Mus musculus: one gene and its partners. The protein of the gene in region 3 purifies or fractionates together with the protein of the main gene of each other region. This does not show direct contact. Links are inferred from orthologs where the notes say so. Each region holds a gene or a part of one and is shown on either strand. Other genes may lie near its edges.

Region 1 (3,648 bases), on a different chromosome or scaffold from region 3:
CATAATTTCTGACTCAATTTAATGAGGTACATGTGCATTAGCTGAGCAGGTCTGGAGAATTGGAGAGCCGACATGCTCTTGGTAATTGCTTGGGGTTCCTTGGCAGTGAAGCTGCTAGAGGCATGATCACCGAGTTCATATCCTCCCTCCCTCCTCAGGAGCTCGGGGAGACAGCCCTTCATCTTGCCGTCAGGACCGCAGACCAGACATCTCTCCATCTGGTTGATTTCCTTGTACAAAACTGGTATGGCTTTTGTTTTTCATCTTAATGAACTGAGTATAGTTTACAGCACAAACCAGAACTGCGTAAGACCTATTCCCAAACTCTGTGCTCTGTGGTTAGCTGGTTAAAAGACCTTTATTGGCTGTGACTGCTCAGTTGCATCCCTTTGTCTCTGCCTGCTTTATAGTGTGCCCATAGGTCTGTGTATGATCTGCTAGGTGACGGAAAAAAAGCATAGAAAACACAGAGTGTAGAAACTGCGTTTAAGCATCTGAAGAACTTCTTAAGACATATACCTCATAGATGAGAGAGGACCTGTGGTCACAGTCTTTCTAATAATGCTGCAATCTTTCAGTGGGAACCTGGATAAGCAAACGTCTGTGGGGAATACAGTTCTGCACTATTGCAGCATGTACGGCAAGCCGGAGTGTCTGAAGCTGCTGCTTAGGAGCAAGCCCACCGTGGACATCGGTAAGTGTGGCCGCTCTCAGACATCCCAGAGGGCCGAGACTACACACACATGCAACTTAGTCACTGTGCCTCGCCTCTTGAAATAGTATCCTAGATAATTATTTGCATTTATTCTACTGTTTCAGTTAACCAGAATGGAGAAACTGCCTTGGATATAGCAAAGAGACTCAAAGCTACCCAGTGTGAAGATCTGGTAAGCAAAACCAGGATCAGAGGTGTGTCAGACATCAGCGGCCATGAAGTGTTCTTCTTTCTCAGAGGGTGGAATTGGGGAAGGATGAAGCATTTTGTTTCTACGTAGCTAAAGAAATACAGATAAGTGCTAAAGTGCATTTGAAAGAGTGCTGAGGTCATGGCTTTGCCTTCTGAGTGCACTTGTCACACTGGAGACCCACGCCTTTGTGGGAGTGAGGATTAGGATCATGCTGCGTGTTTGCCAGGACACCAGGCTGCTTTGCAGCTAAGGGGAGAGGATAGGATTCCTTAGGCAGTCAGTTCAAGAGCTGAGAAGAGTGTAGTGGTTTTCTGCAAGCTTAGCACCCTCCCTCCTGCCTCCCTCCTGTGCACACTCACCTTTCTCTCCCTACTTCGCTAATCTCCTGCTGGACCTTCACGTGAGCGGGGTTCTCTTAACCACAGCGCCTGGTGTCTGCCCTCTGTTGCAGACAGCATGTAATATACAGACTGAGCGAGTTGTAAAGAAAACAGGTGTGTGTTGACTCGTGGTTCAGGGTAAAGGGGCTGTATCCGAGATGGCCTTTTTCTTCTCCCAGTTAATCCCACTATGAGAGACAGGAGAGTACCTATGTTTTCTGCTCAGTGGTCCCTCATCTAAAGCCACCAATGTTCATCCATTATGGCTCCTTCCTGAAACCCCTGTCTAATCCTCATCACCTCCCAAAGGCCCTGATCTCAGTACCATTTCTGAGTTTCCACCCTTTTAAGACCTCTCGATGAGGATTAAGTTTTCACTTAATGGACTGGGGATAGTGGGACATGCCTGTAACCTGAGCCCTCAGGAGGCTTAGGCGGAGGATCACAAGCTCCAAACAAGCCCAGGCTCCATGGGGGAGGCATTGCAGTAAGGAAATATCTCTGCATTTCAGAGGCCCAGGCCAGGCGAGGCTGGAGAAGGAAAGGACACTCCACTGAGTTTGAGTTTCTCCAGACCTGGAAGTTGTACCTTTTGTAATTTTTGTTGCTTTGATATTTTTATTTGTTTCTTGCTGAGTTCTTGTGGGGAGGGGCTGGCAGGTGGGGGTTGCAGGGAGGACTGAAACTCTAATCTTCCCTAGCGCCAGGACCTGCACCACGATCACTGGCTGTATTATGTATTCTTGTTATCCCTTAAGATTTATTTAATTTTCTTTTTTTGTATATGAGTATTTTACTTACATGCTGCATGTATATATACCACTTGTGTGCCTGGGTCCTATAGAGACCAGAAGAGAACATTAGAACTAGTTACCATGTGAGCCACCGTGTGGGTTCTGAGACCCAAACCCAGATTATCTGCAACAAGAACCATCTCTCCAGCACCTGTATTTTGTATCTTGGAGTCCTTTGAGACCACAGTCTCTGCCCACACTGCCCTGGGTGTGTCATGCGGCCACCCAGCTTGTCTAGTCAGAACTGTGCCCCCTGGGCCGTGTCCTTTGGGGCTGAGGGGTGGGGTCTTGCTTGGTGCTTGTAGAGTGGTGGATATTTGAGCATTTCCATTAAGTGGTGTGCCCTTGCTGTTCCTTACAGCTTTCCCAGGCTAAATCTGGAAAGTTCAACCCTCATGTCCACGTAGAGTATGAGTGGAATCTTCGACAGGACGAGATGGATGAGAGCGATGACGATCTGGATGACAAGGTGAGTGCACGGGTGCGTGCTCCACATGCTGCACCCTCCAGAGCACCTGGGCCATCTCCCACCTTCTGTGAGCTGCATTGGACTGGGTCTTCTGACCTGAGGAAGCCATTTGGTCTCTGTTGGGCACCATGTAATAGCCGGACAATAGAACCTGTGGGAAAGATCTGGAAAGAGACAGTCATTTGAAGGAAGTGGCCTGTGCAGTTGTGGAGCTGGCCAGCCGACAAGCTACTAGTTCCAGCAGCCAGTGATAGCACAGAGATGAGGCTCAAGAGGGTCTGAAAGCCAAAGTCCTGGTCACTTTTTCTTAAGGTCTTCAGCTGACAGCACGAGGCCCACGGACATTTTGGAGGGCAGCTCAGATGCCACTGATTCCGTTGTGATCGGCTTTAAAATGAAGGCCGTGTCTACACTGATGATTGCCTGCACCCCACAGCCTAGTCGCTGTGTAGAATTAAACATGTAAAACACTACATATAAGTACCCATAATTGTCACGTTTGAGGGGTTTACCCGTGGTCTAAGTTGAGATAAATATTTTTCCATTGTCTCAGATTGTCTCTGTAGAACCTCACAGGATGCGGTGATTGTACCCAGAGAAAACTTAGGCACAAGAGGACTTGGCATCTTTTCTGAAGCCTTCTAGCTGATAGAGAGATGGCTATCTCTAGGATTAGGCCCAGGTCTTGGTGACTCTTGTAGGTGGTATTTATCTACCTTTGAAAGTTCCACCATATTTATCATCAGATGTATGCCAGGCGGGATTATAAGGGATACTCAGACAAAGGTCCTAATGTTGCTCTCCATTTCAAGAGGAGAGAAATGCTAACTCAGATGGTAATGTGACTGTCTAGTGAAAGTCCGAGCATTCCAGACACCTAGCTCCTCAGCCTTGGTGAGCCCTGGCAGTCTCATCAAGAAGGCAGCTACAGAGATGGATTTCCGAGACTAGGTGGGTACTGGCCAGAGGAAAGAAAAGAGGAATAGAACCAACCGCTCACCCTGTGAGTGGGAAGCATCTTCCTGGGGAAGGGAAGAGGTGCCCTGCAGAGTTGTGAGTAGTTTTTCAGGTTCAACCTTTATCTTTACCCAAGCAGT
Region 2 (3,435 bases), on a different chromosome or scaffold from region 3:
ATAGCCCTCGAGGCAGGAGGATCAGTGGTTCAAGGTCATCCTTAGCTTCATAGTAAGTTCAAAGCCAGCCAGAGAAACATAAAGACCCTGTTTCAAAAACAGAACCAAAATGACTAACAAATGAATGAGTCTGGTATTCCATGTGGCTTCTATTCTGGTCTCAGGAAGCCCTCTGCAGTTCTATGTTGATTATGTCAACTGTGGCCACATCACTGCTTATGGTCCTGGCCTTACCCATGGAGTGGTCAACAAACCTGCCACCTTCACTGTCAACACCAAGGATGCAGGAGAGGGTAAGGAGACGCTCTAGGTTTGACCTGCCCAAGTTGTCCTCCATTGGCTGAGAACTGTATGTGGGAGATGATCCTGAATGGTGTTTTCTACCTTACCTTCATGCTGAGCCATCAAGTCAACTCACCCACAAAGGTTCAGCAATGTGTCTCTGGGCACAGTTCTCACTCTTATCTGTGATATTTTTCAGGGGGCTTGTCTCTGGCCATTGAGGGTCCATCTAAAGCAGAAATCAGTTGCACTGACAACCAGGATGGAACATGCAGTGTCTCTTACCTGCCTGTACTGCCTGGTGACTATAGCATCCTAGTTAAGTACAATGATCAACACATCCCAGGCAGTCCCTTTACTGCCAGAGTAACAGGTACGGAGCATCGGGAGTAATGACAGGAACAGGTGGCATGAGGTCACAGTCTCTTTGGGCTGGATCTATAGTGGCTGATGGCTTGCACCCTTACCAGGTGACGATTCCATGCGTATGTCCCACCTAAAGGTGGGTTCTGCTGCTGATATCCCCATCAATATCTCAGAAACAGACCTTAGCCTACTCACAGCCACTGTGGTGCCACCTTCGGGTCGAGAGGAACCCTGTCTGCTGAAACGTTTGCGAAATGGCCACGTGGGTAAGAGGTCAAGAGGGAGCAAAAGTTTCTGTGAAAGAGGGAAAGCCAGGTGTGGTGACTGCCCATAGTCCTAATACTTGGGAGGTGTAAGTAGAAGAATCAGGGGAACCAATCATTGGCTACATAATGAGTTAAAGTCATTTTAGCCTGTAATAAATACCCTGTGTTCAGACAAAGGGAGCAAGGAAGAAGATTGTGGGCCCACATCTTGTTGATAGCCCTATCCTGTGCCTAGGGATTTCCTTCGTGCCCAAGGAGACAGGGGAGCACCTGGTACATGTGAAGAAGAATGGCCAGCATGTGGCAAGCAGTCCCATCCCAGTAGTGATCAGCCAGTCGGAGATAGGTGATGCCAGCCGTGTGAGGGTCTCTGGTCAAGGTCTTCATGAAGGTCATACCTTTGAGCCTGCAGAGTTTATTATTGACACCAGAGATGCAGGTAGGCAGTGTGGTCTGCTAGTTGGGGCAATACAGCTAGCTTTCCTTGGCATTCTGGCTTATAGCTGCTATCTATTTCCCAGGCTACGGTGGGCTTAGTCTGTCCATTGAGGGCCCTAGCAAAGTAGACATCAACACAGAGGATCTGGAGGATGGCACATGCAGGGTCACCTACTGTCCCACAGAGCCTGGAAACTACATTATAAACATCAAATTTGCTGACCAGCATGTGCCTGGTGAGTGTGGCAGCCATACCCCTTACCTGTGGTTTGGCAGCATTGCTAGTCACACACCTCAGTGCCCACCTGTAACTTGTGCATAGTATGGATTGTACTTTTTTCCTACAGGCAGTCCCTTTTCTGTGAAGGTGACAGGTGAGGGCCGGGTGAAAGAGAGTATCACACGCAGGCGACGTGCCCCTTCTGTGGCCAATATTGGCAGTCATTGTGACCTCAGCCTGAAGATTCCTGGTAGGGAAAAGATCAGGAGGGTTTCTGGGGCAACCCTAAGCATAAGTAGAGAGACAGGGCCCTCCCTGCTCACCAAGCTATCTTCTATTTGTAGAAATTAGCATCCAAGATATGACAGCCCAGGTGACCAGCCCATCAGGCAAGACCCATGAGGCAGAGATCGTAGAAGGAGAGAACCATACTTACTGTATCCGATTTGTGCCTGCTGAGATGGGAATGCATACAGTCAGTGTCAAGTACAAGGGCCAGCATGTACCTGGGAGCCCCTTCCAGTTCACTGTGGGGCCTCTGGGGGAAGGGGGTGCTCACAAGGTCCGTGCTGGAGGCCCTGGCCTAGAGAGGGCTGAAGTTGGAGTGCCAGGTAGGTGTACTTGTCTAATTCTTGCTATCCTAGGTGGGCCTAGGTGGGTGTTTGTAGGAAGTAGCCAGCAGGCATGTTGATCTTGGCTTTGCTTAGACTTGGCTGAGGCTGGGAACCAGTCCTCTGCTCCATGAGCACACACTGCTTTCCCACAGCGGAGTTCGGCATTTGGACTAGGGAAGCTGGCGCTGGAGGCCTGGCCATTGCTGTTGAAGGCCCCAGCAAGGCTGAGATCTCTTTCGAGGACCGAAAGGATGGCTCCTGTGGTGTGGCCTACGTAGTTCAGGAGCCAGGTATTGGAAACAGAAATGGCTGGGGTAGGGGGAGGTAGGACCTGAGTGTGGGTATGTTGAACCCAGGTGTTACATAGTCTCCACTTGGTTCTTATTCTCCATCGTAAGGTTCCAGGGACAACCAAGGGGACTGTGGGAGGGAGGCAAGAGGCCTTTCCTAGGCTAGCCTTTGGGGATATGTGGCACCTCCAGGTATAGCCTTATGTTCTCTTCCTTTCCAGGTGACTATGAGGTCTCAGTCAAGTTCAACGAGGAGCACATACCTGATAGCCCCTTCGTGGTGCCTGTGGCTTCTCCGTCTGGTGACGCCCGCCGCCTTACTGTTTCTAGTCTTCAGGTGAGGCACTGAGAGAAACTGCCCATCTGGGGCTCCTGGGCCCGGCCAGACCAGAGTCACCATAGCAAGCAGGTCTTGGCCCTGGGCTGAGTGCCTACGCAGAAATAATTCTGGATGGTAGGCTTCTGCTCTGGCCGGGTACAGCCCACGCTTGAGGTTGGCAGGAAGTACCCTGCCCACCGCGTGGAGTTTTTCTCGTGTCTCAGGTCTAAAGGCTTTGAACAGAACCCTGTGCCCATTGAGCACCAGGGCTGAGGTTTAAAGAGGGACAGCCTGTTAGAGCTGAGTGCTACCTACAGGGTGGGCCACCTTGCCTTTCTGCTACCTGGGTGTGTGATTGTGGAGAACATGTTTAGGAGATAGGAGGTTGGGGGTATGCCTGTGGCTTGCTGCCCTCACAGATCAATGGCTCTCCCTCTTTAAACCATGTTGGACACCAGATGGGTAAGTGACTCTGTCGGTCTTCTGCTCTCCCATTTGCCCTGGTTCTATACATCCTGTCTAACCACATCTGCTATGCTTCCAGGAGTCAGGGTTAAAGGTCAACCAGCCAGCATCTTTTGCAGTCAGTCTGAATGGAGCCAAGGGGGCAATTGATGCCAAGGTGCACAGCCCCTCAGGA
Region 3 (3,648 bases):
AACCTCTGAGCCATTTTTCCAGTCCCAACCATGTTTTTTGGTTTTTGTTTTTTTGAGTAAGGGTTCTTCATGGTCTGGCAGTCAGTAAGTAGGCTAGGCTGGCCAGTGAGCCCCTCAGATCCTCCTGCCTCCCAGGCCACTAGAGTTACAAATGTCCTCATCACAATGAGATTGTTTTTCTACATGGATGCCAAAGCAAGCCTTGCATGGAGCTGTCTCCCCAGCTCCACCTTCAGGACTCTTTTTTTTTTTTTTTTTTTTTTTTTTTGGTTTTTTCGAGACAGGGCTGTCCTGGAACTCACTTTGTAGACCAGTCTGGCCTCGAACACAGAAATCCGCCTGCCTCTGCCTCCCAAGTGCTGGGATTAAAGGCGTGTGCCACCACCACCCTGCTACCTTCAGGAGTCTTAATATGAAGCTGTGATTCGTGCAGGTGTCCTGGAGTTCAGTGACTGTCCTCTGCGGGGAGGTGGCTTCCTAAGGGTTTGGGTCAAGGCTTCTCTGGAGTGCTGGGGTGACTCTCCTAGGTGACTCTCTGCCGCTCTTGCAGATGTGGAAAGCCTCTGCAGGCCATGCTGTGTCCATCACGCAGGATGATGGAGGAGCTGATGACTGGGAGACTGATCCTGATTTTGTGGTAGGAGTCACCAGCCTGCTTTGTCTTACTGGCTGTTTGCCTCTGAGGTTCCCAGCCTGCCCCTGCACTGAGCTGCATAATTTCCTCCAGGGCACAGGGGTACAGCTTAGACGTACTAGTTAGGGTCTGGGATATACTAATTAGGGCATAAGATAAGTAAATTAGGGTGCCAGGTGTACTGTTTAGGTCTCAGGGCATACAAGTTAGGCATGAGAGTACTACATATTTCTCTAGGATGGGAATTATAGTATTTAGGGTATGGGGTGTGCTAGTTAAAATGGGGGGGAGTATGCTAGTTAGGGTACAGGATGTGCTAGTTGGGCTCAAGGTATACTTGTTAAATCATGTATTAGTTTGAGCTCAGGGTGTACTAATAGGGTTCAGGGTATACTAGTTAGAGTACAGAATGTACTAGTCCTCAGGGTGTTCTAGTTAGGGCATGTACCACTGGCTCTTCCAGGGTAGAGATACACTAGTTAGGGTTTAGGGAATGCTTTTTTAGGGTGTGGGATGTGCTAACTTCTTCTCTTTGCAGAATGATGTGAGTGAAAAGGAGCAGAGATGGGGTGCTAAAACCGTGCAGGGATCGGGGCACCAGGAACACATCAAGTAAGTACCTTATGGCACCCCACTCTCCCACACACCGTGCCCATAGGGTGAGATCAGAGCGGGCCTCCCTGCCTCTCCAGGTGAAGATCGTTAAGAGTCTAGTGTTTGTGCGTGGGCCTAAGGTGTCAGGCACACACAGATAATGGACAGGAGACCTAGCCATGTCTTTCAACACAGAACACAGTAGCATAAACTCTTCACTTTCAGTGGCAGCTGCTGAGGGTGTGGGATGGCTTTGAGTAACTTGGACCCTAACCATCTTCATTTGGATCATTGTCTACAAGTTGTCTCCTGGAATTTAGTGCTTGACCTTGGGAGCCCAGCTCCAATCTTGTGGAATGTACCATGCATCGAGTCTGACCCAGCACCTTCTGAAATGCCAACTCTACAGCAGCTTGCATCCCTGTCAGGGAGGGCAGGCAGGCCCTCTGCAGACACCTAGATGCTGTTTTAGGCCCCAAAGGGTTAAGAACACATCCTGTATGTCTGCTTTGGTATTTTGGCTGCGGTAATCAGAACGTTTGACTAGGTGCCCAGAAGAGGGCTGTGTGGTGGCTTGGCTTGTAGGTGGATTTTTTTTTTTTTTTTTTTTTTTGAGACAGGGTTTCTCTGTGTAGCCCTGGCTGTACCTGGAACTCACTCTGTAGACCAGGCTGGCCTCGAACTCAGAAATCGCCTGCCTCTGCCTCCCAAGTGCTGGGATTAAAGGCATGCGCCACCACCGCCCGGCTTGTAGGAGGATTGTAGCTGATATTTTTATCTATTTCTGAGATAGAGTCCTGCTGAGTTTCCCTGTCTGGTCCCACCTTCCAAGCTCGTGACATTCTTTCCCATAGTGACTTTCTGAATCTGAGTGTAGAGTAACCCAGCCTACCATGGAAGAGGTTTCGAGTTTCCCTGGTGTAGTAGAAGAGGGGATGGATATGAGGTGAACAGGGATCTGGGCAGCCAAGTGCCTATGAGTCTGTCCCCATCGTTTTAGAACATGATGGGAAGGGTGCATGGGAACACCCATGTGGCTCTCTGGATGGATGAAGACTCCAGGGGGAGGGGCATATGGGAGTCCCATGCTTCCTCTCAGGTTGTTGGTGGTGTTTCTCTTTTGCTGCTCATCAAGATCGGTGGTTCCGGGCCTGGTGTGCCTCTGTCCCCACTTTCGAGCTTGTTCATATGCAGAGCTGTGGGGCCTGTGTCTGCTGCTCAGGAAGGCCCTGTGACACAGCGCCCCAGTGACAGCTGTTTGCAGGCAGACAGGTTCTGGCGCTCCTCACCTGTACACCATTGCTGCTTGTCTTAGTTTGCTCTGCATTGCTATGATAAAGATACTGACCAAACACAACCTAGAGAGAAGCAAAGGGTTCTTTTCACCTTCCAGCTTCTAAGTCCATCACTGAGGGAAGCCAGATCAGGAACTTGCAGGCAAGAACTAAAGCAGAGGCCATGGAGGAAGACTCCTTATAGCTTACTTCTCATGGTTTGCTTGGCTGCTTTCTTATACCACCCAGGCAGATCCCAGGGGCTCTCCCAGCATTAACTCCGCCCCCCAGTGGGCTATGTCCTCCCATATCAGTCATCAAGAAAATGCCCTATAGTAGGTCAGTCTGATGGGGGCATTTTCTCAGTTGAGGTTTCCTCTCTGAGAGGACTCTAGCTTGTATCAAGTTGCCACAATGCTAACCAACATAGCCAGCTCCTTCTGGTGACCTTGGGGGTTTGTAGATGGGACTCTAGGTGACATTTACAGAAATCAACCCTCTATCTGCTGATCTAAGTGAAGGGAAGCTCAGCTGCGCTGCCTCTGGGACTGGCCACATGGTCCTGTGTGGATTTAGACCCATATTCCTCCCACATACAGAGCCTTGGAGGCAGGCACAGTGAACAAACAGGACAGCAATCTCGCTGACTCACAAGGGCATCTGTATTCCTGTTTGTCCTGCTGTCGGGTGAGGTGCATGCCTGGACCCTGACATGGCCCTGCTTTTCCTCCCCTCCAGCATTCACAAGCTTCGAGAGAATGTCTTCCAAGAACACCAGACGCTCAAGGAGAAGGAGCTGGAAACGGGACCCAAGGCTTCCCACGGCTATGGCGGGAAGTTCGGTGTGGAGCAGGATAGGATGGACAGAGTAAGTGGCTGACCGGGCTGAGCTGCTGGCCTGCATGGGTGCATGATGTGGGTGGCAGTCAGACTTTTCCTGAGTCATAGTGTAGAGTGGGGTTTGCTGAGGGTGAGGGGTTGCTCTGAGGGGTCTTCTATAGCTGCCCTCTGGTAAAGTTCTTCTGTGTCTCTAGTAGCTGTTTTACATTGTCAGAGGCCCCAGCCAGTGGCTAGTATGTAGGGGGGGCTCTCTGGGAGAGATCAGCACCATGACCGGCTTTGTGAGCACAACAGAGTCTGGAAGCA

Evidence for each region.
Region 1: the proteins of Cttn (region 3) and Asap1 purify together in Homo sapiens (affinity purification with western blotting; 6 studies listed by BioGRID and IntAct, with this or other methods). This does not show direct contact. The link is inferred for Mus musculus from reciprocal best matches to the Homo sapiens genes CTTN and ASAP1.
Region 2: the proteins of Cttn (region 3) and Flna purify together in Homo sapiens (affinity purification with mass spectrometry; 3 studies listed by BioGRID and IntAct, with this or other methods). This does not show direct contact. The link is inferred for Mus musculus from reciprocal best matches to the Homo sapiens genes CTTN and FLNA.

Annotation. Positions count from the first base shown.
Region 1 is NC_000081.6:64,120,911-64,124,558, reverse strand, and holds part of Asap1 (arf-GAP with SH3 domain, ANK repeat and PH domain-containing protein 1), read left to right. Parts: intron 1-158; coding exon 159-244; intron 245-578; coding exon 579-694; intron 695-819; coding exon 820-887; intron 888-2,443; coding exon 2,444-2,551; intron 2,552-3,648. UniProt on the Homo sapiens protein: Possesses phosphatidylinositol 4,5-bisphosphate-dependent GTPase-activating protein activity for ARF1 (ADP ribosylation factor 1) and ARF5 and a lesser activity towards ARF6.
Region 2 is NC_000086.7:74,226,239-74,229,673, reverse strand, and holds part of Flna (filamin-A), read left to right. Parts: intron 1-164; coding exon 165-293; intron 294-481; coding exon 482-655; intron 656-752; coding exon 753-914; intron 915-1,149; coding exon 1,150-1,353; intron 1,354-1,435; coding exon 1,436-1,588; intron 1,589-1,699; coding exon 1,700-1,822; intron 1,823-1,916; coding exon 1,917-2,183; intron 2,184-2,338; coding exon 2,339-2,476; intron 2,477-2,697; coding exon 2,698-2,813; intron 2,814-3,339; coding exon 3,340-3,435. UniProt on the Homo sapiens protein: Promotes orthogonal branching of actin filaments and links actin filaments to membrane glycoproteins. Anchors various transmembrane proteins to the actin cytoskeleton and serves as a scaffold for a wide range of cytoplasmic signaling proteins.
Region 3 is NC_000073.6:144,460,901-144,464,548, reverse strand, and holds part of Cttn (src substrate cortactin), read left to right. Parts: intron 1-550; coding exon 551-637; intron 638-1,172; coding exon 1,173-1,246; intron 1,247-3,240; coding exon 3,241-3,370; intron 3,371-3,648.